3 linked regions of the Caenorhabditis elegans genome follow. The protein of the gene in region 1 interacts with the protein of each later gene in a pairwise test. Each region holds a gene or a part of one and is shown in the gene's direction. Other genes may lie near its edges. The genes, in order: dyla-1, D1037.1 and tsct-1.

Region 1 (6,699 bases):
CAAACGGTAGTTGCCCGTTTGGGATTCCGATTACACGTCTAGCATGTCTTCCAGGCAGAGAATCGCTCTCCTAGGTTTCCAAAAACACGTCTAGCATGTCTTCCAGGCAGAGAATCGCTCTCCTAGGCTTCCAAAACTGCGAATGGCTTATTCTTCACAGAAGAAATTTTTTCGACGAATATCCATCGGCTCCACTGCCGTGCCACTGCTCTTCGAAGATTTTTATAAAGAAATACTCACTTTCTGCGGCTAGGTGCGCATTCCTGAATCCGTGCTGCAATTGGGAAGCTTGTCGACCATCAGTTGAGTGTTGAGTGAGCTTGCGGGGATTTCTTCATAAATTGAGCTGTTGGGCACGATTTCCTGGATCTTCCGAGCAGCCGATGACATCGTAGATGAAGTTGGGTTCAGTGGTAGATTTTACACGTCTGGCATGTCTTCCAAGCGTTTTGAGCCACGCATGGGATTTCCTATACACGGCTGGCATGTCTTCCAAGCGTTTTGAGCCACGCTTGGGATTTCCTATACACGGCTGGCATGTCTTCCAAGCGTTTTGAGCCACGCTTAGGGTTTCCTGAATCGACTCCACGCGTCTGGCGCGTCTTCCAAGCGGTAATTGCACGCTTAGGCTCCTGACCTCTTCCTCCGACTGGCTTGCCGCTTCCTCAGGTCCCGCCGTGTCACGAGCTGGCTTTTTGGTTCGTTCATCGGATCCAATCCGACTCGGTTCGGTGCACCATGTTGACACTCCAATCCGAGAGATAGCCAGAACCTCGGAGTGACAAAAAAGACGACGGACGGAACGAGAGGAGGGATGAGCGGTGTGAATATAACAGAACAATTAGTACGAATAAAAACCTGTTTATTGATCAGGAAAAACGTAGAGAATGTGCTGCAGGGCAGCCAGGAGTCGAATAATAATTAATTAGAAGGAGTACGGCATCACACGATGGGAGAATCGGAGGAGAGTGACGATAATTGCATCATCAAATTTAGGCCAATAATTAATGTGAGCAATGGCTAAAGAGAGCGCGCTACGACACTCCGTTGTTGTCCGTGGAGCGCGCCTGCATTGCTTGGCGGCAAATTCAAATAATAATTGTTTATTAAATGATTATTAGAGCGAATGTTCTTGGAAGAATACGGAAGATATTGTGAGTATTCGGCGGCGGATGTTAATTGTGGGATCGTGGGTGATTCTGACCAATTAATTAACTATACATCCGCAAAGTTGGGATGCGCCGACTCTCCGGAGCCCAAGTCACAACATTCCACTTTTATGATAATTACATAACGAACTTTTCTGTTTTTTTTTTCAATGTATTGCTGATACTGTTAGCAACTTTTCAATTGATTATTCATTCCTTCAAAATTTCAGATTTTAAACTTTAGAAATTTTGGCAAAATTTACATTTCAACAACTTAATCAGTTTCGGAAGAAGCAACAACATTTTGTTTAAAAAAAGGGACCGAATTTGAATCGAATGATTTTTCCAAACATTTTCTGTAAAATTCGAAAGTTAGAGGAAATGTTTGGTAAGTTTGCCAACTGTTCAAACAGTTCTAGAAACTTTTGAAAATTTGATAAACTTTTGAGAAGTGTTTGAATATTCAGGAAAGATTAAACAATTCTGAAAACGCAATAAATTCCTGATATGTTCAGGACAATATAGAAAAGCTCTATAAACTCATAGAAAGCTTGCGTTGTTTGGAATTCGATAATTGCAAAATTTGGCAAATAGATAAACCTAGAAAAAAAGATACATTTTCATTTTTTTTAATTTATCGTAATTTTTCTCGATTGTCTCAATGCTAACAAAACAGGTCAATAACAAAATAAATCTCGCAAAACAAAAATTTTGGTAATTTAAAATTGCCATAATTGCTAAATACTATGAGTACTACACCCCGTCTAGGTAAAAAGTAGCAAGTAATACTATGATTATCATTTTGAGAACTGTTTGTACTTTACATGGATTTCTCAAATTTCTGTAGTAATTTCGATCGACCAAACTTTTAAACTTAAATAAAAACTCATCTTCGTTCTTTCGTAAAACCCGTGACAGTCAGTAGATCCTTCATTTTAAGGAGGTTCTGTTATTTATTTGCTCTCTAGTTAGTTCTAATAAACAAAAATTTCAAAGTTCCAATGAATGAATAACTGGCAAAGAAGCTAGTTCCGCCTTTCCGCCAGTGATCTGGTTGAAGGCAAATTGCTCAGCTCCGAATTCGAATGCAGTCATGTGTGACCACAAGAATCCAGCAGCGATTTATAGGAAGAGGGCAACAGTCAATTTACGAAGTGGGATTGGAGTCTGAGTGCAGTGTAGAGTCGGGTCAAAAAGACAAGCTAGCTGTTCATTACAATCATAGCAAGAAAGAGTTGTTTAGCGAAACAAAAAGTCCACGGGTGTCAGTGGTTTGACATATGAAGACAGAAAAAAGATGATAATGATTGAGCGCATTTCTCACTCTCGCAACATTTTCAAGGTTCCCAGGCTGCAAACGTTGCATTGGAATGACTTTTGCATGTCGCAGACTGCATTCACTTTCGATTCATTTGCCCCCAATTGCTTTATTCCAGAATTCTTGTTTAGCATTCTAACATGCTCTAATAAACAATTATACTCACGTTTGGAGCAGTCGGCGGCTCGGAGATGGCGACGGTGTATTTGATTCACGCATCGATGGGTCCGGAGTTGGAGTGTCCATACCTAAACTTGTAATGAGTGTATTACAGTTGTTATTATAACCAAGCAAACAAGTTTGAGACTATGGAAAACCAACTGATTACAGTAAGACCAAATCATAACGTACAACCAAAAAGTACAACGTACAAAAAAAAAAAAAAAAAAAAAAAAGATACAACCCAAATTCCAGGAAAAGTATTCAAGGTCACTTTTTGATACAAAATTAAAATTTTTGAATAAATTTATAATAAATTCAGTTCCAGAATATATTGAGTTTGAATTTTTCACTACTTTCATGAGCCGTTAAGTTGCCTCAAAATTTTAAGGTTAAACTTTTTGGAAAATTTAAGGTTAAACTTTTTGTTAAATCATTGGAAATGTTTTTTCGACTCGGAATTTCATCCCAACATGCCATAGAAACAAGAAATCTGAAACTCAACAAAAAATGTTGAACGAGCTGCGCACTTTTTAGACAATAATTTTTGAATTTTTCTCTCAACTTGTTCAGTGTAAGGATATTTGTAAAAAAAAACCTGGAAGACAACTTTTTTCTTGGTAGTATGCTTAGCTAATTAACTCACTGATAAGATCAACTACACCAGTCCAATTTTCAATCCACATGGTTCAACGCGTTTTAGGAATAAATCATGAATGCAACTGATGCGAACATCCTGTTGAAAGACGAAGGAAAGGCAGAGCTCAAACGTCGTTGAATTTCATACGAAAATAGTTCGACTTCACAAAAGCATTTATTTCAAAATTTGGTAAACTCTATAAAATATAAAGCGTTTTAACTTCAAACGTTTTTATTACTCTGACGGAAAATGGCATTGGAAAAACCAAAATTTGAAAGTTCGCTGACTTCAACAATTCTCGGCTCAACTGAGACTCCTTCTAATATTTTTTTACAAGTTAATCTTGCAGTAAGTCTATTTTATCTTTAGTAATGTTGTCCAAAAATGTATAGAAGTCCAAATTTTAATTAATTTCTAATAAAGTTAAAAGTGGAGTACCAAAATCTGAGACTTTGTGTTTTTAGACCCAAAATGGTCCAAAACAAAGTTCTGGAAAAAAAGCCCAAATTTGTTGCTTTTTTCACACATTTTGGTTTTGAATCTAATTGTTCAACTACTGTGCGAAATCAATACACAAAGACTGTTTTTTTTTAATTGTTTTTCTTTTAAATTTTGCTACACTACTTTCTCACAGCTAAAATCATATGCGGTTGAGGTTAATTTCAGATTTATTCACATGCTTATGATTTTCACTTCAAACATGTCACATCAAGAAAAATTAAAAATTGACAAACTGATTTTCAGGAGGAAACAACTTCAAAAATAGAAGGAGAAACCAATGTCACGTTTGAAAGTATCATTGAAAGCGGCGAAGACGATCACATTGAAAGTGAACACCAGCTACAGCTTATTCTTGATTGTATACTTCCGCCGAGGTGGGTAATTTGATAAATTGGCAGCTTAAGCCAGAAAACAAAAACAGAATTATGATCATGAAAGACACATTTTGTAGAGTTTACGAACAAAACGGAAAACTATGGAAACAGCAAGCGTCGCTTCATCCTGCTACGCGACATGACATGGTAATTTGGTGTGAATTTGAAAAATATTTAGATATTTGTGAAACTAGAAGGTAACTTGTTAATAGTTAAAACCAAATGCTTAAACCTCTTTTTTAAATATAAACACGAATGTTAGAAGTACGTTCAAAAAAATTTCAGATAAATCTCGAGGAAAAACTGGAAAGCGAGTTAAAAGACCGGGGAGCAAAACCATTCGGAATATGCCCAATTCGACGCGATCTTTACGGCCAGTTTTTCGGTCAGTGTTCCTTTTTTCAATTCATCCAAGACCCATTTGTCTTCTTTCAAGCGCATAATGATGCCCTTTGACAAAAAGACAGGTGTGTGAATCTTCTTTGCTTCCAGATGAGCTAATCCGTCAAGTCAGTGTCTCCTGTGTGGAAAGAGGTCTTTTATTGGTTCGCGTTCGTGATGAAATTCGAATGACTTTTGCAGCCTACCAGAATGTACTAGAGTCGGCGATTGCATATGGTAAGTTACAATTAATAGTTTTCAATTTCAGAATATTAAAAAAAAAACTTTGTGTGGATTCTGACTACTTCTTAGCGCCTAAAAAAATACAATAACCACACCGAATTGATTCAATTTTCAGGTGTCAGAAAAGCGCTGTTCATTGAAAACGAACAAACACGGGCGACGACTGAATGGAAAGTGCAAAAGGACAAGAACAAGGAGCTTCATCTAAAGGTGAAAAGAAAACTATTACTACAGATGAATAGAAACCCATCGGGGAAAAACGGAGGGGGGGGGGGGAGAAAATGGAAATTAGCGGAGGAAGAAGCAATGTATGTCGGATGTTGCAGATTGCCCAATTGGAGAAAAAATTGGCAACGGATAAAATTGTAAGCGAGGAGGAATTGGAAATTGTGGAGCAACGAATGAAGGACACCAACGAGCGCCTTGTAGAGTCAAATAGAATTCTCAAAGTTAGGCTTGAAAAATAATTATTTCAAAAGTCAAAGTTTTCAGAACCAGCTTCAGTCGATTCTTCAGATGGATGATATGTCACATGTCAAAGTCGGAGAAACAGTCGCACATTAAACATATTCAAATGTATTATATTTTTGTTTCAACACTATACATTCTAATAAAACATACTCAATATTTCTATGTATCACAAAATTGTAATCTTGGAGAAAATCCTTACATTAGAAACATTTTCAAACAATACAAACTTTTTTTTTGCGCAGGGCCTGTTGCCTGTATTCAACCTGCCCGCCTCACGCCTCTTTGACCGCGCCCGACCCTTTCCGGGTTTTGCGCCGCACTAAACAAAAAGCGTGGCTCGCGGCGCGAGACAGGCGCGGCAGGCGTTTTGGCGTCTGCATGGAAGCCCGTTAGCGTTTTTTTTTTAATTTCAGATCATGTTAACAATCAGAGAAGTGAAGTTCAGCATCAAAGTATTTCAGTATTTAATTTTGTTATTTGTAATTTGTTAAATTGAGGAAAACCACAATTATTCAAAATACACCAGAATACTACAGGAAGTGATTTATTTTCAAAAATATATGAATAAAAATTGAGAATAACAATTTCAAAAAGCTTTTTGTTTTATCGTGAGTTAAAATAGTAGTTGATTTTCTCCTGGACTTCATCTGAAAATGGGAAAGATCCACAAAGAAAACTGTTATCTTCGTAGGTCGATTTTCTTGAATACTCTTGTTCATTCCAAAAACTGTTTTTAAATTGGATTTTCATGCTATTGAACCATACTCGGTCAAGAGTTGGTAGGAGATATTGGTAGACCATCTGAAAATATGAGTTTTGATTGTGTAGAGATTTTCAAATGCAGAGCATACCATTTCATGAATTCTGTGATTCATTGGAGCCGTACTGGTAAGACCAAAATGAATAGCTCGTGCGAAGTACTTCCTTGTCTGTAAAATTAGTGTTTTCTTTCAACGAAAAAAAAAGGTTTTCGGTATTTGAAAATATCAAGTTTAAAATATAATATTAAATGAAAAATACTATTATATTTGTGTTTGGCTAAAATGTTTAACTTTTCTGACTAAAATGAGCACAAAGGACTGATTGTCGAGAGCAGATACGATGTGTGCTTTATCATTCCATAGCAACTCAACTGTGGAAATCCTAGAAGTACCCGAAACTTGTACCCAGTTCAAAACACATCGCAACAGAACACATGAAGGTGTCATATGCCTGTTCCCGTGACTTACAAACTCTGATTTGTCATAAATTCTTTGCAACAATGTGAAAGCCAGGCAGTCGAGGTTGTCTCGTGTCAAATTGTAAACACTTGGCCAGATGTTCTGAAAGTTAGGATTAATGTATTGCTTTTTTTTGCTCCGTCTTTTTGATTCTTTTGTGTCTAACAAAAAAACTCACGTCCTGATCACAACCAAAAGGTCGAAATGCAAAGTACACAACTGTCATGAACTTTTCCGTCGAGTT
Region 2 (10,383 bases), on another chromosome or scaffold:
TATGTGTACAATCTAGGTCGTATCCCGTGATTTCTGTTTGTCCCTGACCCTTTTTTATCATCATCGGTGAATCGATAGCAATGAAGTAGGAAAGTTGATCATCATTCTGCCATCATATCACGTGAGTCGTCACCAAATGGAGCCGGGGGTTTTTGTGTGTGTGCGTGCACAGTTGAGATGCTGATAAGATAGGCTACGTGAGTCGCTTATCAGGCGGTACGTGCTCTCTGTCGTCGCCGTTTGACGAATGTCTTTTACTCTTTTTGTCTTCGTTTTTCCATTGATCAACTAATCAAGCAGACATTTATGATAACTCAAACCTTGACAGATTTTTTCTTTAATTACATCAGATATCTTAATTCTGAGAATGCGTATTGCGCAACATATTTGACGCGCAAAATATCTCGTAGCGAAAACTACAGTAATTCTTTAAATGACTACTGTAGGTCGATTTACGGGCTCTATTTTCGAAACAAATTTTTGTTCGAATTGTGACAACGATATTCAATTTTCTTTAGTTTTTTTAAACGAAAAATTGGAGGAAAATCGAATATTGTTGTCACAATTTAAAAAAAAATCGTATCGAAAGACCAGCCCGTAAATCGACACTTCAGAAGGCATTTAAATAATTACTGTAGTTTTCGCTACGAGATATTTTGCGCGCCAGATATGCTGTGCAATACGCATTCTCAGAACTTAGCGTCTCCGTAATACTTGCAACGTTTTTCGTGTTTAACTATTCAAAATTGTGGTACTTTCTACTATTCAATGTCGCTGGTATATGAATCTGACTCTGCAAAATAGAAGCTCAGTAAAAAACTTCTAGAAAAAATTAATTTTAATTTGCATGACCGACAAAACCCCAATATTCGATCAAAATTCAGAAAATTCAAAAAACTTGGGAAAACATGCAATTTGGTTCATACATTCGCGAAAAAAATAAATCTGAAATCCTGAAAAGAAATCTCATCAGAATGCTGGGTGTAGGGGGGTGAATTGAATATGCGAGAGAGAGCGGACACAGAGAAATAGACGGGACGAAAATGGTAAAAACAAAGCAAGTGTTGGTTATTATGGTCAGAAGAGAAGAGAGAAGAAAAAAGGTTATTTTTAGAATTATAACCGTACTGCATACAAAAATGTGCGAAGGAGGAGTTTTTGGAACAGAAAATTCAAACGGAAAGAAAATATGAAAAGAGATATGGTACACTATTGAAGTTGAATTGAATTGAATCACAATCAACTTCGAAAAGGGCAGAACATGGCGAGAGAGCAATAAATTTAAAGCAAATTGCAGCTCCAGTTGCTGAAGAAGCTCTTCTTCTGTGTCCCCGATCCACCGACGTTCACACGACCCGTATTCGAAACTGATCCACCGGCACGCATCTCGTTCTGCTCCATCTTGCTCTTGATATCACGAGCCAGTGTGAAGAAAGCTTCATCAATATTCAGATTGGCCTTCGCCGACGTTTCCAGGAATTTCGTGCCGTACTCGATTGCGAGCTGCTCTCCACGGTCCCGCGACACTTCACGGCGTTCTTCAATATCACATTTGTTGCCGATGATCATCCTCTCGACATCCGAAGCCGCATGCTCTTCTATATTGCGAATCCAGTTTTTGATGTTTTCAAATGATCGCTCGTTGGTGATATCGTACACCAGAATGATTCCCTGAAAGATAAATTAATTAAAATTTGAAATTTTGTGAAATAAATTTTGATAAAACATGCCATAGCACCGCGGTAATAAGCCGTTGTGATAGTTCTGAATCTCTCCTGCCCGGCTGTGTCCCTGAAAAAAAATATTTATAAAATCGGATTTAATAAAAACTAGCTCACCAAATTTGAAGTTTGATTTTCTTCCCATCGAGCTCAATCGTACGGATTTTGAAGTCGATTCCAATTGTTGAAATGAACGAGTTATTGAACGAATCATCTGAGAACCGGAACAGTACGCACGTCTTGCCGACTCCACTGTCTCCAATAAGCAAGAGCTGTAAAACGATGTTTTCTTGACATCTTGGCATGCAAAAGTTCTCACCTTAAACAAGTAGTCGTAAGTTTTTGCCATTTTATTGGAGTGAGTGAGAGAAAAGCTCTGAAAATAGGAAAACTATAGAAAAGTAACGCGAAATCGAAGAAAAACAATTAAAATAAAGTGAGATTAAAGGTGCATTGAGTTTTTGACACTGATGGGTCCCGGAGCGAAAAGTACAAAAGCCTTTCATTTTTTTAAATTGTTTAAAAACTGTAATTTTATTTGTTTTGTTTTACTGTTTTTTAAATTTTCTTTTCAATTTTAATCGAAAGTTAAAAGTAAATGAGACTTTTAAATTGAATTTTCCAAGTTTCATGACCGCAAAAAATGAAAAAAAAAAAGAAATGAACAGATGTCACGCTGTGTGTGTGTGCTCAGTTGGTTTGAGGATAGCTGGTCAATATTGAAGGGTCATGTGAAGACGTATGTAATTAGTAATTCCCACACAATGTCCGCAAAGAAAGCGACAAATGAGTGTTGAGGAATAAAATTTGGAGGAAATTTCGCAATAAAAAGATTTGTTTTCACTGAGGGAATGAATCGATTAGACAGCTCACAAAGACATCGTGGTCACGGGCCTTTTTCAAAAATAAACTATTGGGAGGGGGCGAGGTGGTGGTATCGGTGCAGCAGGAAAACAAAACGCGCAGCGGCCACGGCCATGACGATGTAAAAACGTAAAAACGGAGCGTCGTTTGTATCCTCTTGTTTTGCAATTTGAAAAACTTTTTTTTAAACAAAAAATCACCTTTTTTCAGGTCAAAAAGTTCCAAGAATGGTCGATGGCGAGGGAATTACCCCGAAAACTTGCAGTGAAGACATCATTAAAGATCTTTTAAATGATGTGAAATCGTCGGAAAAAGTAAATTAATTTAAATTGTACTGGAAAATTTACAAATCGAATTATATAATTATAATTAATTATCATTATTTTCAGCCATTCTCAGTGGATAAACTAGCCGGATGCGATCAGACAGATTTTGTTGGGAAAAGGCCGAAGAAGCATCACAGGCACAAGTCGAAGAAAAGCAAGAAAGTTCGAAGAAGATCCAAAACTTGGTCTAGTTCAAGAAGTCGAAGCCGGAGCCGGAGCAGAAGCCGGGGGCGTAGTCAGGAGAGGAGAAGAAGCAGAAAGAGTAGGAAAAGCAGAAGCAGGAGCCGTTTAAAGCATAGGGAAGAAAAAATTGAGAAGAAAAATCTCGAAAAAGCGCCAAAAAATGAGTAAGTTCGAAAATAAATTCGAAATAAGTATTTAAACTAATAAAAATTACTACAGATTAATCCCGCAAGCGCCAAGTACCGAAAATGGCAAACCGAAAGAATTTAAGGAGCCGCCAAGGAAAGATGAGGCCGATGATCTACCGCTTGGCGCGGATTTCAGCACCCCTTTAGTGAAAAAAGAGACAAAGCTGGCTATTAGCATCACTACAGTTCTGCCAAAAGCCGAGAATAAGAAAGAAGTTGAGGATGGAGAAATAGAAGAAATTGCATATGGAGATGGAGATTTTAAAGAACCAGAAGGAATCGAAAAGAATTTGGAGAATAAAAATATATGTGAAAATGGAAATCTGGATAATTCTGAAAATGAAAAAAGTAAGGAGAAAGACAAGAACCGAAAAAAGGAGAAAACTGAAAGAAAACGGAAGCGCAGTCATTCAAGCAGTGATAGGAGAGGAAGAAGAACAAGGTGAGTCACTCCACCAAAAAAATAAAAACACCAAAACAGAATATATATAATTTTTCTTGAAATTCATCTCTTTCAGCAAGGAATCCCGTCGTCGTTCTCGTTCGAGAGACACACACCGTACTCGCCGACGATCTCCGGAAAGATCAAGAAGATCCACAGAGACTCGCAACGAGAGACCCGAGAGACCTTCCAGATGGAGAAGTCGTTCCAGAGAACGGAAAGAATATGATTCATACCGACGACGAAGATCCCGAAGTCGAGAAGTCATTGATAAGGAGAAGCTATTGGCGATTGCCAAGACGAAAAGAGCAGAAATGATGTCGAATGGCGACAGAGATAGTGCATCGATTGAGGATTTTGTTAGTGAGTATGACTCGTGTTACGGGAAAATAAAAATTCTGACAATGCGTATTTCACAACATATTTGACGCGCAAAATATCTCGAAGCGAAAGCTACAGTAATTCTTTAAATGACTACTGTAGTGCTTGTGTCGATTTACGGATGTGATTTAATGATCGATAAAATATTAAGAAAAACAGTTTTAAAAAATAACAGAATAATACGAAGAAACGGAGGAAAATGGAATATCATTGTCAATATTCGAAAATAAACTTTTATACATTTCGAATGTCGTTGCCGTAAATCGACACAATCGCTACAGTAGTCAGTTAAAGAATTACTGTAGTTTTCGCTGATATTTTGCGCGTCAAATATGTTGCGCGATACGCATTTTCATAATTTTTTATTCTCGGAATAATTGAGCGAGAAACACTAAAAACATCAATTTCCAGCGTACTGCAAGAAGCTTCAAAGACGACAAGAACGAGAGAAACGTCGAGAAGCTGGACACGATGTCAGTGATCATGACAGTGATAGAGAAACAGTTCGATACAAGCATCCATATGCTATGCCAAAGGAACCTATTCGCATTAATATTGTTGTATGTTCCTGGACAAAATGATCAACACCCCTGGTCCAAATTTAGGAGACTTTTCAGAGAACGGTTCAAAATTTCTACAAAAATATCCTATTTTTAAATACCAAATTATTTTGTCGAAATTTTGAAATTTCTGAAAAGTTTCCATATGAAATTCGGCTTTTTGGAGCCATTTTGAGTATAATAGAAGCAAAAAAAAATTTAGACAAAAAAAATTGAAATTTTCAAAAACTCAAAAAAAATGCTTGAATTTATTTTTTACAAACTGTGAAACAGTGAACAATTTATGGTCTAAAAAAACCAAAAAATCAATTTTTCGTCAAAATACCAACAAAAAAAAGTCCCCCCGGAATAGCATGTGAATTAAGATGTTTATCTTCAAAAAAGTCTCAAATTCAGAAAAAGCATAGAAAAAAAAACGAAAAAAAACAAGAAACAATGAAAAATTCAACTTTTAAAACGAGATTTTTCAATTTTAGTTGAATTCCCTATTTTTTCTTTTAAAAAATTGAAAAAGCACAGTTTTAAAGGTGGATTTTTCATTTTTTTTTTTTCGTGAATTTTGAGAACGAAATCACCTCTAAACGAAAATTTTCCAAAAAAAAAAAAAATTAAATATTTTCAGACTGCCACATCCGCCAATCTAGCTCAAAAAGCGATCACAGGCCCAGAAGAGCCAACTCAACTCGGAGCTGCCCAACTTCGTATTGTTTTCCCTGTCTCCTCTGGTGCTGTGCACAAAGAAAATGCCGAATGGGTGCCCGTCGAAAAGGAGGATGTTCCGAAAAGTTGCTCCGTTGAGCAGAAGAAGCATGTGGCTCTCACAAGTCTTGAAATTGATCGGTGTAGAGCACAGGGAATTGTAAGAAAATCGAAATATTTAGGAAAAAAAAGTTCGGAAAATTATACATTTTTACAGAATTTTGTTGATTTTGGTGATAAAAAATTAAAAAAATTTTTTTTTCAAATTTTGGAAAACGAAAATTTGCAATTTTCCCCTGAAAAAAGTCAATTTTTCAGCCTGTCGCCCCAGCACCCGTGCCGAAATTCCTCAACTCGATCTTGCCACCACCGCCGGCGCCTCCCCAGTTTCTACCGAATCCCACTGATTGTAAATTCAAGATTTTAGTTTTTTTTTTACAATTGAAAAATCTAAATTTTCAGCATTCCGTCCTCCAACGCCACCTCCGCTACCTTCTGTTCTTTATGTTCCGAATAAGGATCAAATGATTTTGAAAGAACCAAAAGATATCCCGATACCAGCTCCCAGTGATATTGGAAAAGTACTGAAACAACGAACAGAAGCACAACGAAAAGTTTTGTCGACTCCCAATGATTTTGATGCTCATCGAGCACTACGTGAAGCCAACGAACAGGTAAAGCTGGAAAAATAGTCGGAGAATATTATCCAGCCGTGAAATGTTGCGATTTCTGAGTCCCAGTCTCGTTACGACAATTTTTGTTTGTTGAGAAATGGTGTGCGCCTTTAAAGAGTACTGTAACTTCAAAATTGTGTAGCTACAGATATCGAAAAAATTGATTTTCGATAGTTTTCCTCACGATTTTTTATCGAAAAACAATGAAAAATCTATAAAAATTTCGAAAAACTAGAAAAGGCCGAAATTACAGTACTTTGCATTGAATAAAAAAATGTCGTGTCGAGACCAGTTACCGTATTCTTATAGTTAGATCAAAAATAACACACATTTTCGCGTCTGGAAAAATAAATTTAAACAGTTTTTAAACAAAAAACCTTTAAAATAAAAAAAAATTAAGTTTTTCAAAAATTCCAAATTTTAAGATCAGTCTCTGGGCAGCGCTAAAAAGTCTTCCTGGAGAGTACACCGGTACAACTGGCCTAAGGCTTCTGACTGCAGACGAGCTACAGCCTCAAAATCCAAAATATCACGCATGGGTGAAAAAGGTATGTGTGGTCTCGGAAAATTGTATTAAATTATCTCAAAAATCGGCACATTCTGCCGATTTTCATTTTGTGAAAAATGTGGCAATTTTTGTTTTTGAAATTGCCGCTTTTTTCACAATTTTGAAGAATTTCGGTTACGAAAATTCTGAGAGCTAAATAGAAAATTGAATCCAGAATTCTCGTAACTAATATTGCCCAGACGCGAAATTTCACGATTTTTGGGCCAAAAATACGGTACCTGGTCTCGCTACGACAAATTTTTGTTGATTTCAAATGGGTATGTGCCTTTAAGGAGTACTGTAATTTTAAACTGCGGAATTTTCATCGAATTTTTATTGTTTTCTTTACGATTTTTTAATCGAAAAACTATGCAAAATCTAGAAAATTCCACGGCAACGAAATTTTGAAACTACAGTACTCTTTAAAGGCACACACATTTGTACATCTAACAAAAATTTGTCGTGGATTACTGTAATTTCAATTTTGGAAATTTCGTTGGTTTTCGCAGTTTTCATAGAAATGAACGGTAGAAAAACTGCTGAAAATCAAAAAAAAAACCCCCAAAAAGTGAAATTACAGTACTCCTTAAAGGCGCATGCCTTTTCGAAATTAACAAAATTTTGTCGTGGCGAGACCTAACGCAAAAATCGTAAAATTTCGCGTATGAGTAATATACCTAAAGCAGAATGTGTCGATTTCTATCTACATCATCATCAATCCCTCCTACACCTTCGGAACCATCAATCGATTCATAACGTCAGCTGCAGTCTCCTAGAGAAGTCGTAAGTCGCATGTAAAACTGATTTCTTTCCTTTTTTTTTTTTTGAAAGGACCAGAAATCAGTTCTGCAGCGACTTTTTCCTTGTATTTTTATTTTTTCGAATAGCAACTCCATTAGTTCCCAAATTAATTTAAAAATTTCATAATCTTTCCTTTTCAGGACCAATTCAGAAATGCTGCACCAGCGACCGGCGGAATCGGAAGATTGATGCTGGAAAAGATGGGATGGCGTCCTGGAGAGGGTCTGGGAAAGGATGCGACTGGAAATTTGGAGCCGCTGATGCTTGATGTGAAGAGTGATCGAAAAGGATTAATCGCTGAGGAGGAGATGAGCATCAAGCAGAGAAATAAGATAAATGCACAGAATAATGTTCCAGTTGATTTATCGAGTTGGTTTTTTTCAAAACTCAAAATCTTTTCAAATTTTTTTTATATTTTCAGACAAAAATCCAATCTCCCTAATAATGGAACTTTGCGCTAAACGTCGCTGGAATCCCCCGTCATTCAGTTGTGAAGAATCCGGTGCTGATCACTTGAAGATGTTCGTCTGGACTATAGTCATCAATGATGTAGAATACCGTCCAATGTGTGGCTCAAAGCAAAAGAAGGAAGGAAAAGCCGTCGCTGCTCAGGTGGCTCTTCAGTCGCTAGGCGTACTTCCAATGGATCCGAATCTCCCAGTTTACATGTAGAATATAATCTCAATTCATCAGTTCATCATCATTGTTGTGTTTTCTCGTCTTTTCAATTGTCTAATAACAATCAATTAATTCTAAAAATTAAAGTATCCCCAGTCATTCAAATTTATTGTCAAATCAAAGAATCTCAAATTCCCGCCGTAGTTGTTGTTGTAGTCGTACGTGTCGTCGTCGTCTCAGAAGCTTCAGAAATCGATTTCTCCAATGTTTCCGAATCCTGCGATGTTTCAAGATTTTCAAAACCCTAAAATTCATTTTTAAAAAATCATTGAACATAGTAAAAATAGTTATTTTTAATACCTCTCTCTTCGGTTTGGTTGCCAGGTAATTGACAAGCTTCACAAACTGAGGCCTATGTGAAGCCACGTATTGTTCAGTCTCCCACATCACTTGCATCACCTTTTCCAAATCAATTTCATCCAGAGAAATGCCTTGCGACAAGTGAGGCGAGAATCTTAAATTATATTATCCATTTTGTGATTTTTAGACCAGAAGAACGGTGCCGGGTCTCGACACGACAAATTTTTCAGATGTAAAACGGTGTGCACCTTTTAAGATTACTGTAATTTATTTTGGAAATTTCATTGATTTCCTTCCTTCCAACATTATTTTATTTAAAACTTTAAAAAATCAATGAAATTTCCAAAATGAAATTACAGTACTCTTTAAAGGCGCACACCTTTTTTTTTTCATTAAACAAAAATTTTCGTTTCGAGACCTGGCACTGCATTTTTTGTTCAGAAATCGCAAAATTTGGTAATACCTAAAATAAGGTGCGTTGATCGAATGACACCATTCTCTTGCATATCTCACTGGCTGACCATTCGAAGCAGTACACTGAAATTAATAATTAGGAAATATACATTATAAATCCAAAATTTGAATTCAAACCTCTTTCACAAGAACATGCAACAAATTCCGAGTGCTTGCAAATGCTTTATAGCAAGATTTGGCAAATTGGATCGGGTTTTTCTGAAAAAAAGTAATACAATTTCCCATTAAAAAAGTATCGGTCTTTAACTCTTCAACTTTGTTATTTTGACATTTTAGATTTTTTTTCCAAAGTTCGTCAACTATTATGTTTTAAATTTAATTTAAAACCAGCTGAAAAAAAAATGTGCGGCGCTCTTGCAAATTTCTCGTAAAAGGACGTGTAAAAGGGCGTACTAACCGCATGCGCCACAATCAAATCGATTCCATCAATCTTTTCCGTTGGAAATACTCCTGTTCCAAGTGAAATGACACATCCAATCTTCCAGTTTCCACGGTTTTCTCGTTCAGATGAGCTTTTCGCAAACGATTTTTCAAGTTTATTCGTGAGGAAGAAATCAGAGATCAGTGCAAGCGTCGGATTGTTCGCAATCAAACCACCATCAGAAAGCCCATTGAATGACTCGAAGAAGTATGGAGCCGCGCTGAAAATTTTTTTTTTATATTTCAAAAAAAACTAGAGTCGTACGTTGTGCATCTCAGAGTCTTCCACAGCTCAACCTTCGTTGGATCCAGGAACTTATAGTGTTCACACGCTTCCTCTGGCATTTCTGGACGATAGGATCGGAAGAGGAGAAGTTGAGGTGGAACCATTCGAGTATCAGCTACAGTAACAATTGCTCGGTGTCTTTTGATACTCGACATTTTCGAATCTTCCCAAGTTGTGACGTGGCGGGCGATGTACTCCATACCGTTTGAACTATATTTTGGAACGGCTTTGTCAGCTCCACGGATGAAAACTCGATCACGCATATCTAGAAGTAGCTTTCGGGTTTCTTCAATGTTTCGATCTGAATTTAAAATAAGGTGATATGTAGGCACGTAGGCAAAAAGGCACAGTAGCCTTATTGCCTTCCAAGTTTTCTGAAACTCGTACTCAAAGGCGCTTTCGGATGGGTCTCGCCGCGATAAAAAGTTAACAAAGTTTAATTATTACGGAGACACTAAATTCTGATAATGCGTATTGCGCAATATACTTGACGAGCAAATATCTCGTAGCGAAAACTACAGTAATTTTTTACATTACTACTGTAACGCTGGTGTCTTTGCTTTCTCGTTTTTTTAAATTATTTTACCGTAAATCGACACCAGCTCGTAGTAAAGAGGTACTGTAGTTTTCGCTAAGAGATATTTGCTCGTCAAATATATTGCATAGTACGCATTCTCGGATTTTAGTTTTCCCGTAATAGTAAAAAGCGACAGCCAAAAAGATAACTACTACCATAAATTTTTTTCGTGGCGAGACCCAAATCGATGTTCCTTCTAGTACGAGTTTTAGAAAATATCAAAACTACGATATCTCAGTAGTTTAAAAACTATCAAACCCAA
Region 3 (7,436 bases), 4.4 Mb from region 1:
ATTCTTCACATTTCACCACGTTTACTCATTTTTCCACTCCATCTACATCTCCATCTACCTCTACTCAAAGTTCAACTACACCGAGCAATTCTGATAATAAGAAGTCATTTCAATGCTCAAATTGTTCAGTAACTGAAACAATTCGTTGGAGGAATATTCGATCAAAGGAAGGAATTCAATGTAATGCTTGTTTCATTTATCAACGGAAATATAATAAGACTCGTCCAGTCACTGCCGTTAACAAATATCAAAAAAGAAAATTAAAGGTACAGGAAACGAATGGTGTAGATTCATTTTAATGTAAATTACATCATTGTAAATTGTATAACTCAATTGTAATTTTATTGTTTTAAACCGGTAAAATGTTTTTAATTAATATGATTTCATAACTAATACATTTATATTTAATTCTTGTTCTCGATTTTAATTACATCATAACTCAAGATTTATAGAGGAATAAATTTAAAATTAACAAACCCTGTATCGTTTTGAACTTTTGTTCTTTGTTTTCCCAACAGCGCTGTTCATTTTTTTCAATCTCGTCAGCCAGAACAGCTTTATATATGCTTAGGATTTAGAGAATCCGACAGCGGAAACCAAACTTTTGCAGAAAAAAATTGTGGACGGGAGAGCGAGACAAAAAGGGCCGAAATGTGTTCTTCAGTCATTGCTTTGAAAGGTTTCACTTTTCTAGTGAGTTTTGTTTTTCGAAGAACTTTTTGAGCTGCACTATAATTCTTGTATTAGATGTTTGTTTTTCAATAATTTAGATTTAAATTTTTCTGTGATGTGTACTGTGACCATGCGATTGTCACCCACTAGAAATGTTGCATTCTGAGTCGGAAAATGATGCTTACTATTTTTAAAATTTCTCTCCAATTTTTCCGTGTTTATTGTCACAATCAACCCAAAAATAGAATATTAAATCAGTTGGTTTGCACTCGTCACTGAATTCTGATTCATTGTTTCGCATAAAGTTATAACACCTTCTCTAGTCACCCTAGTTTCCATTTGGCCTTCTGTCTGCTTTCTATAGGATTGGCTACATGGTACATACATCTGTTATTTGTCATGCTGTGTTCATCACAAAAACTTTACCCCATAAAAAGTGTCATACAAGGAACACGAATCATTGAGTGAAGTGTGACACAGTTTTCAATTATTTAACATTCGCTTTGTTTTAGTAGACTGCTGCTCTTTTTTCTTCAAAGTAAGATAATCTGGAGGACAGACAGGAAGTTGTTAAAGTGATGTATAAATATCGAATATGTTTAGTTGAATGCAGTTTTTTTCGAATAATTTGTTGCACAGCCCGTACTTGTTACACTAGTTACTTTTTCTCGAACTTTTGATGTAGCTTAATCATTTTCCCCTTTATTTTTTATGTAAGAGATAGTACTTGTAAAGTGTAAAACGTTATTCAATATATACCAAGAACAATTACACCCATATTCGAAAAAAAATAGTTGGGATTGTGATTTTTCTCTACCTATTTTCAACATTGCCAAATTAATACTTTGATAAATTCTCTAGATATATATATATATATATATAATATATATAGATACATTTGCATGTAGATCATTTTTCTCTGAGCTCCAAGGTTAAATTCCCAATTTGTGCAGGAAGATTTGCCCAAAATACCTGTCGATTCTGTTTTCAGCAAATTTGGAAAATCTGGAAGCATCCAATTGTTTGTTTGCAGCGCAGCCATTGGAATATTTTTATTTTTTAATTTTTTCCAGTCCACTTTTGTTTTGAAATTACAATTTTTGAAGTAATGTAAAAAGTAGAAAATAGCCTTGGGCAAACAAAACTTTGAAACAAAATTTCATTAACGTTTTTGCCCCCTTCCTCCGCCCATTTCCTCTTCTCATCCCATTCGAATTTTACCCCATTGGGAATTTCAATTCTTGTATCAGTTTTGTTCTTTTTTAGTTTTAAGAAAATTGGCATATATTTTTGAAAAAACGTCATTTTGATCTTGCAGAACAGCTCTGTTTTGTTTTGTGTCGGGTGGTACCCTAACACCATCATTCTTTCATTCAACCCATAAAAGCCAGCCGTCACAGAGGAACACATTTGAAAAAAAGGGTTCCGCGTCTTTTTAGCTTTTAACTACCATCTGCTCTCTTCCAAAAAAGGACATTGAGTGCTCATTTAATTTTTCTGCTCATTTGTTGATTGGGTTTTTCTACACTTTGACATTCTTTAAAATTATAATTAAAAATAAAATCTTTAAAAATAAAATAGAAAACAAGACGAAAAACATCCTCATAACTCCCTAAAACTAGTGTTTATCGGATTAGATACACATAGAGACGTTCGAGAAATTCAATTTTTTTATCTCATCGTTTACGTATTTTATGTATTTGCACATGTGCGATGAGCATTATTTATGTTACAACAAACCCGTTTTTCCTCATATTTCATCTTGCCATTCTCATTTATTTTCTTATTTATGATATTTGAAAATAACAGAAATTATTTTTACTCTTAATCAGATGAAATACTTTGCAAATATCATAAATGTTATAATTAAAACAATTGAAATTTTTGTTGCGAATATTTAAAACATACAAAAAAACGAAAAAATAAACATACTTAATGTTCCTAGTGAATATCAAATTTCTCTGTGCGTCCGCAAATGCATCACGTGGTTTTGTTCACAATTTCAATTAAAAAACTTCTTGAACTTTAAAAATATGTGTTCACACATTAATTAATTTTCACAAGATCTGTAACATGGGGCATAATTTTTGTGAATTTACCAATCAATCATTAATATAAGATAGTTTCACGTAAGTTCAACGCAAGTTTAAAAGTGATAAAAAAAATCAAATTTTGCATTCAACTTTGCAAATTTGTTCTCAGGATGAAACTTCTTGAAAATTTCACAAAAGTGTTTTTTCTTTTTCTTTTTAACGGTTGAAAAGTTTAACAAAAAAATACTCAATATAGCAAAATTCTAAAATTTTATCAACTTTACCCTGTTGTAGAAATTGAGATTAAACTAGCGAATTTTTCATAAACGACACAAAATTTCAAAATGAGGTTGTGATTAAATAATAATATTTTTTCCAGTCGCTCCGCGGACAAGTGGCCTAAATTTAAGATTCCTGCGGAACCTCAATTTTTAAAATTTTTTACTCAAATAAAAAGCAGAACCGTTACTCCTTCTTATGGTTTGCGTTTATATCTTCACAACTTTTTTTGCTCTCTATTGTCAATAACGTTGGTTTTACAAGATACAAATAACTTAAAGTTTCAGGGTAGTTACAGCTAAAAGAGACCGCAGCAAGGGATCCTGTCACTGAGAATGTTCATCTTTGCCGCAGTAAGTGTTCATTTTTAAGATAAACCACATGACCTTGTCTCCTTATGATCTGCCTGATCAAACAACCGGCTCTTCGTTGTCAATGACCTCGTGTTTATGTATGTGTTTTGTTTATCTCCAGCACGTTTTCCAAATCTAAACGTTTTTGATGGTTGGTTGAGAAAGAGAAACTCTACGCAATTTTGTTGTCCTTTCGTTTTGCTTCTTCACCGTCGCCAATGTAAAACGCGTGACTGCCGCGAAACAAACTCTAAAATACAGAAATCGTGAGTCAACTGTAATTTTTTCGACGATTTCCTTTCTGATTCAATTCCACATATCGATTTTTAGAATGACACCGATTTGCATGAATTATCCGTACCCCCGTCAGTCTGAACAGCAACTTTTCTTTTTAACTTTTTGATTTCTGTTGTTTAATCAAGTGCTTTTTGCGTTCATAAAATATAAGAATAAACAATAACTAAAATTAGAATTTCTTATTTTTACGTATTTTTCCTTCAACAGCATATCAATTTAATTTGAAAATAATTTGTCTTGTTCAATGTTAGGAATTTCGCAAACGTTTAGTTGCCATATGTACAAAGATATGTATAAAGAATGTGGAACATTTTCTTTCAAAAATTGAAAATAATTTATTCTAGTAACATTTTTGAACACATAAATTTCAAGTATAATCTTGAAATTTTTTCATGTCGTTAAAAAATCAAATGCAACGTAATTTGAAACACCTACATTGTGAGACTTTTGCAGAAAACAAAGTTAAAGGTCAATGAGACCCTCCGAATACGAGTGCCAAAAGTATTCAATTAAATTTCCAGTTTTTACGCGATGAAAAACACCAATCAACAATGAGCCAAAAGTGTGGTGTGCTGCTCTTTTCCAAGCGTAACATTTAAATTGAACTTCTGTTTGAAAAATGAGGAGAGCATATAGAGCCAAATGATACAAAACCACTCTCATGATATTAGAATTTCCGACTCCTACCCCGACCCGACCGACCCAAAAAATGGGGCGACCCACTCCACAGGCCTAGTCTTACATCCCTACGGACCAATTGAAAATTAGTCTTGCATGCAAGAATAATAGAGAAAGCTTCAAAGCTAATTTGTTCAAAAACAATTTCCTTTTTGGATCTTCTCCGCCTTCAAACTCCAGTTCAGAATGTTATGTGTCCAATTTTCTTTTGCACGTTCGCTCAAGAGTACACATGACAACTACATATTATCTTTTTTATCAGTTCGTCATTTGATTTGATCGCTATTCATGTGCCCTTTTCATATTTACTCTTCGCAACTCTTTTGTGAGCACCATTGTTGCAACCACAACTTGCATAATTACTACAGAATCGAAGTTTCAAAAAAAGATTGCATTCTATCTCGCGCTCCCATGCGCTTTTTTCGTTTTATTTGCGATTGAAAAATAGCTTTCCTGCTTTGCGGGCTATGCAGAGCAGTAGTTTTCAATGGTTTTGTCTGGGCACACAGAGAAGCGTACAGTGTGATTGAAAAAGTGGGGTAGCAGCCAGTATAGAGCAAGAGAAATGTACAGCATTCAATTTTTCATTCGTTTTCTATTTTGCTCTTATAAACTGTGACATTTCTAGTGACTGAAAACGAGAAATCGCAGTGTCTTGTTTAAAACTCCCTCAAAATCTTTCTCTCTGAAATAATAATTCAGAAGAATTATATATTTTTCTTTTTGACAATGACTTCAAATATAATCTCAGAAATCTTACAATTCACTGGAATGTCACAGTCATAATCTCGTATTATTTGTATCTGAAATAGACGTTATTGCGCCATGTCTAGGTGGCTTTGTTAGAGAAAATACGCGTTTTTCTTAGCTCATCTATTTTTTTTTCTTCTTGCAAAAAGCTGACTTCTTGTTGCATATTCATTGAACGTTAGCTTTTTTGGCAAAGGTTTATGTAGGATTATTTGTAAGACTTGAGTTTTAAGCTCTAAGAATTTGAAAAAAGGTATGAAAAGCTACCAAGTTTTTCATTTTTCTAGTTACGAAAATTGGCTTTCTCTTTTTTTCCTTCCAAACTAGTAGAAAAAGCACTGCCATTGAAATTAAAAAAAACAGTTTTCAACAATTTTTCACAAAGCGGAAAACTTGAAAAATAAATGCTTTTTTAAGTTAAGAAAATATGTCGTCACAAAAGTTCTTGCAGATTTTGCACTGTGCTTTCATAAAGTTATTGGGCTTTCTTGAACTGTTGTTAGTTGTCCTTGATGTACTTCAAACTTTCATAAATTCCTTTTCCAATTACAGCGTTCTCAAACTATTAAAAAAATATGATTCAATAACTGTCTGCACCATTTAGAGAGAGAGAGAAACTAAGCGTTCCTTTCTTTCCTGAAAAAAAAACAAAGTCTCATGGGTTTACTCAGATGACAAAGTAACACAAAAAAACAGAAAAAAAACTCCAAAGTTTCCGTGCCAAAAGTTGCGCCGTCGTGTCTATTTACTTGACACACTTGCCATCACACTTGAGCAAGTACAGCTGTTCCTCAGCACCGCGAGCACTTTTTCGAGAAAATTGAAATTACGTGTCAATTCATGTCTCCCACAGCAGTTCATCAATCATTTGCTGCATGTTGCGACCAATTTATCTTTTCGTTTTTTGTTCAAATTTGAAACAGAAATTTCGAATAAGGGTTCTTGAGTGTAATCAGTCAACGATTGTGATTTTTAATGCGATAAAAAATCCAGCATATTTTTTGAAACTTATCTTTGCCATTTTTCTTCAAAACAATTTTTAATTTGCTCACCTAACCAAATTAAAGGCGAAAGATGTTTTTTTTAATATAAAAATGTCGTACGTTTTGTTTCCCAAAATACATTAATTCAAATCTATTTTGGTCAAATCGTTGTAACTTTTGTTCATATCTGTCTTGTCCACGGCGCAAAAATGTTATCAAATTTTGCTAATTAGTCATCAACTTTTTTTAATTTCATAGGTTCTAATGGCATTAGTTAAACGATGTGTACAAAGATGTAATTATACGCTTTTCAAATATATGCAAATTTTTCTTGATTAACTATGTGTCCAAACGACTAAAAACCGTTAATCTTACTGTTAATTGAAAAAAAGTATTTGAATCTGTTATAAGTCATCATAATTTTACCAAAAATCTAAAAGTTTCAATTTATCTTTAGTAGAACAAATGTATATTTTAATTCTTGTTTGTGAAAGTACAGATTTTCTTGTTTTATACACTACTTCTAAAATGCTAAAATGTTTTATTGTCTATTTATTACTTATTTTTTCAACTTTTCAGGCTTTCCAACAGAACACAATAATAATGAGTACTACTTCCAATGAAGCATCTGTGATTGAGGTCGTTCCTCCAAATGCAAACTGTGACAAGCCGAAGAAGAAATTCCAAGTTGTTCCGGTTCCAGGAGAGTTTACACGTGGCAGATGGAAAGTGATTGATACCAGATTTGGGTCGGCAATGGGAGGTTAGTTTAACTACTTGAAAACGAATAATTTATCAATTTAGAAGAAAATCAATAAATTTATTAGATACCAGTTCAAAATTCCGAGCATAGAAGTACGTGTTTTAGTACGTGTTTTTAAAAAAATGTTTGAGGTTGTTGAAGTACCAGTGAAAATCTTTTTTCAAAATTATTGATTAAAAAAAAATAAACTGGACAATAAACACAATTTATTTTTTTCAGAATTTGGAAATTATCCTCCAGAAGACGAGTACAAGATGATCGTAACAAGCAAAAACAATGTGATCACCGTCCGAAAGAAATTCCCTCGGCCGACAACAGTCACCTCTGCTCCAATTCTCGGAGCAGAAGAGGCGGACAGCATTCGTGTGCTACAAAAAAGTCAGCCGCGGTGAGTGATCTCACATAAATAAACCCAGATTTAAAATCTTAATATCCAAAGCAATCACGTGAGATAATGCGCGCGCGCGTCAGTAGACTTTGAAAGGTGGCTAGAAAAGTCTCTGGAGAATTGGCAAGGCGTTGAAAAGCGGGCGGCTTTCAAGTAAAAAATAATACCCAAAAAATATCGAGTTTCAGACGAACTCTTTGCTTTCGTTTCTTTTTTTGCGTAACTAAAAGGCATTTAGAA

Evidence for each region.
Region 2: the proteins of dyla-1 (region 1) and D1037.1 interact in a two-hybrid assay, tested with the Caenorhabditis elegans proteins (one large-scale study listed by BioGRID).
Region 3: the proteins of dyla-1 (region 1) and tsct-1 interact in a two-hybrid assay, tested with the Caenorhabditis elegans proteins (one large-scale study listed by BioGRID).

Annotation. Positions count from the first base shown.
Region 1 is NC_003284.9:16,837,591-16,844,289, forward strand, and holds dyla-1 (DYnein Light chain, Axonemal p28 type), read left to right. Parts: upstream 1-3,447; 5' UTR 3,448-3,514; coding exon 3,515-3,613; intron 3,614-4,009; coding exon 4,010-4,140; intron 4,141-4,217; coding exon 4,218-4,287; intron 4,288-4,425; coding exon 4,426-4,525; intron 4,526-4,632; coding exon 4,633-4,758; intron 4,759-4,879; coding exon 4,880-4,974; intron 4,975-5,090; coding exon 5,091-5,213; intron 5,214-5,256; coding exon 5,257-5,328; 3' UTR 5,329-5,383; downstream 5,384-6,699. Other genes in the region: F41G4.8 (uncharacterized protein), read right to left, coding at 5,839-6,036, 6,087-6,164, 6,465-6,557, 6,634-6,699.
Region 2 is NC_003279.8:3,681,990-3,692,372, forward strand, and holds D1037.1 (Protein SON), read left to right. Parts: upstream 1-2,791; 5' UTR 2,792-2,812; coding exon 2,813-2,899; intron 2,900-2,974; coding exon 2,975-3,258; intron 3,259-3,313; coding exon 3,314-3,724; intron 3,725-3,800; coding exon 3,801-4,087; intron 4,088-4,516; coding exon 4,517-4,665; intron 4,666-5,287; coding exon 5,288-5,524; intron 5,525-5,682; coding exon 5,683-5,773; intron 5,774-5,826; coding exon 5,827-6,038; intron 6,039-6,463; coding exon 6,464-6,586; intron 6,587-7,526; coding exon 7,527-7,755; intron 7,756-7,807; coding exon 7,808-8,058; 3' UTR 8,059-8,191; coding exon of another isoform or gene 8,192-8,308; 3' UTR 8,309-8,358; downstream 8,359-10,383. Other genes in the region: rab-8 (Ras-related protein Rab-8A), read right to left, coding at 1,282-1,671, 1,731-1,791, 1,839-1,993, 2,041-2,070; ipla-4 (phospholipase A2), read right to left, coding at 8,192-8,308, 8,365-8,518, 8,828-8,901, 8,956-9,036, 9,236-9,479, 9,524-9,845.
Region 3 is NC_003284.9:12,430,835-12,438,270, forward strand, and holds the start of tsct-1 (Protein tsct-1), read left to right. Parts: upstream 1-3,262; 5' UTR 3,263-3,319; coding exon 3,320-3,337; intron 3,338-5,802; exon of another isoform or gene 5,803-5,869; intron 5,870-6,624; coding exon 6,625-6,808; intron 6,809-7,027; coding exon 7,028-7,196; intron 7,197-7,436. Other genes in the region: med-1 (GATA-type domain-containing protein), read left to right, coding at 1-299.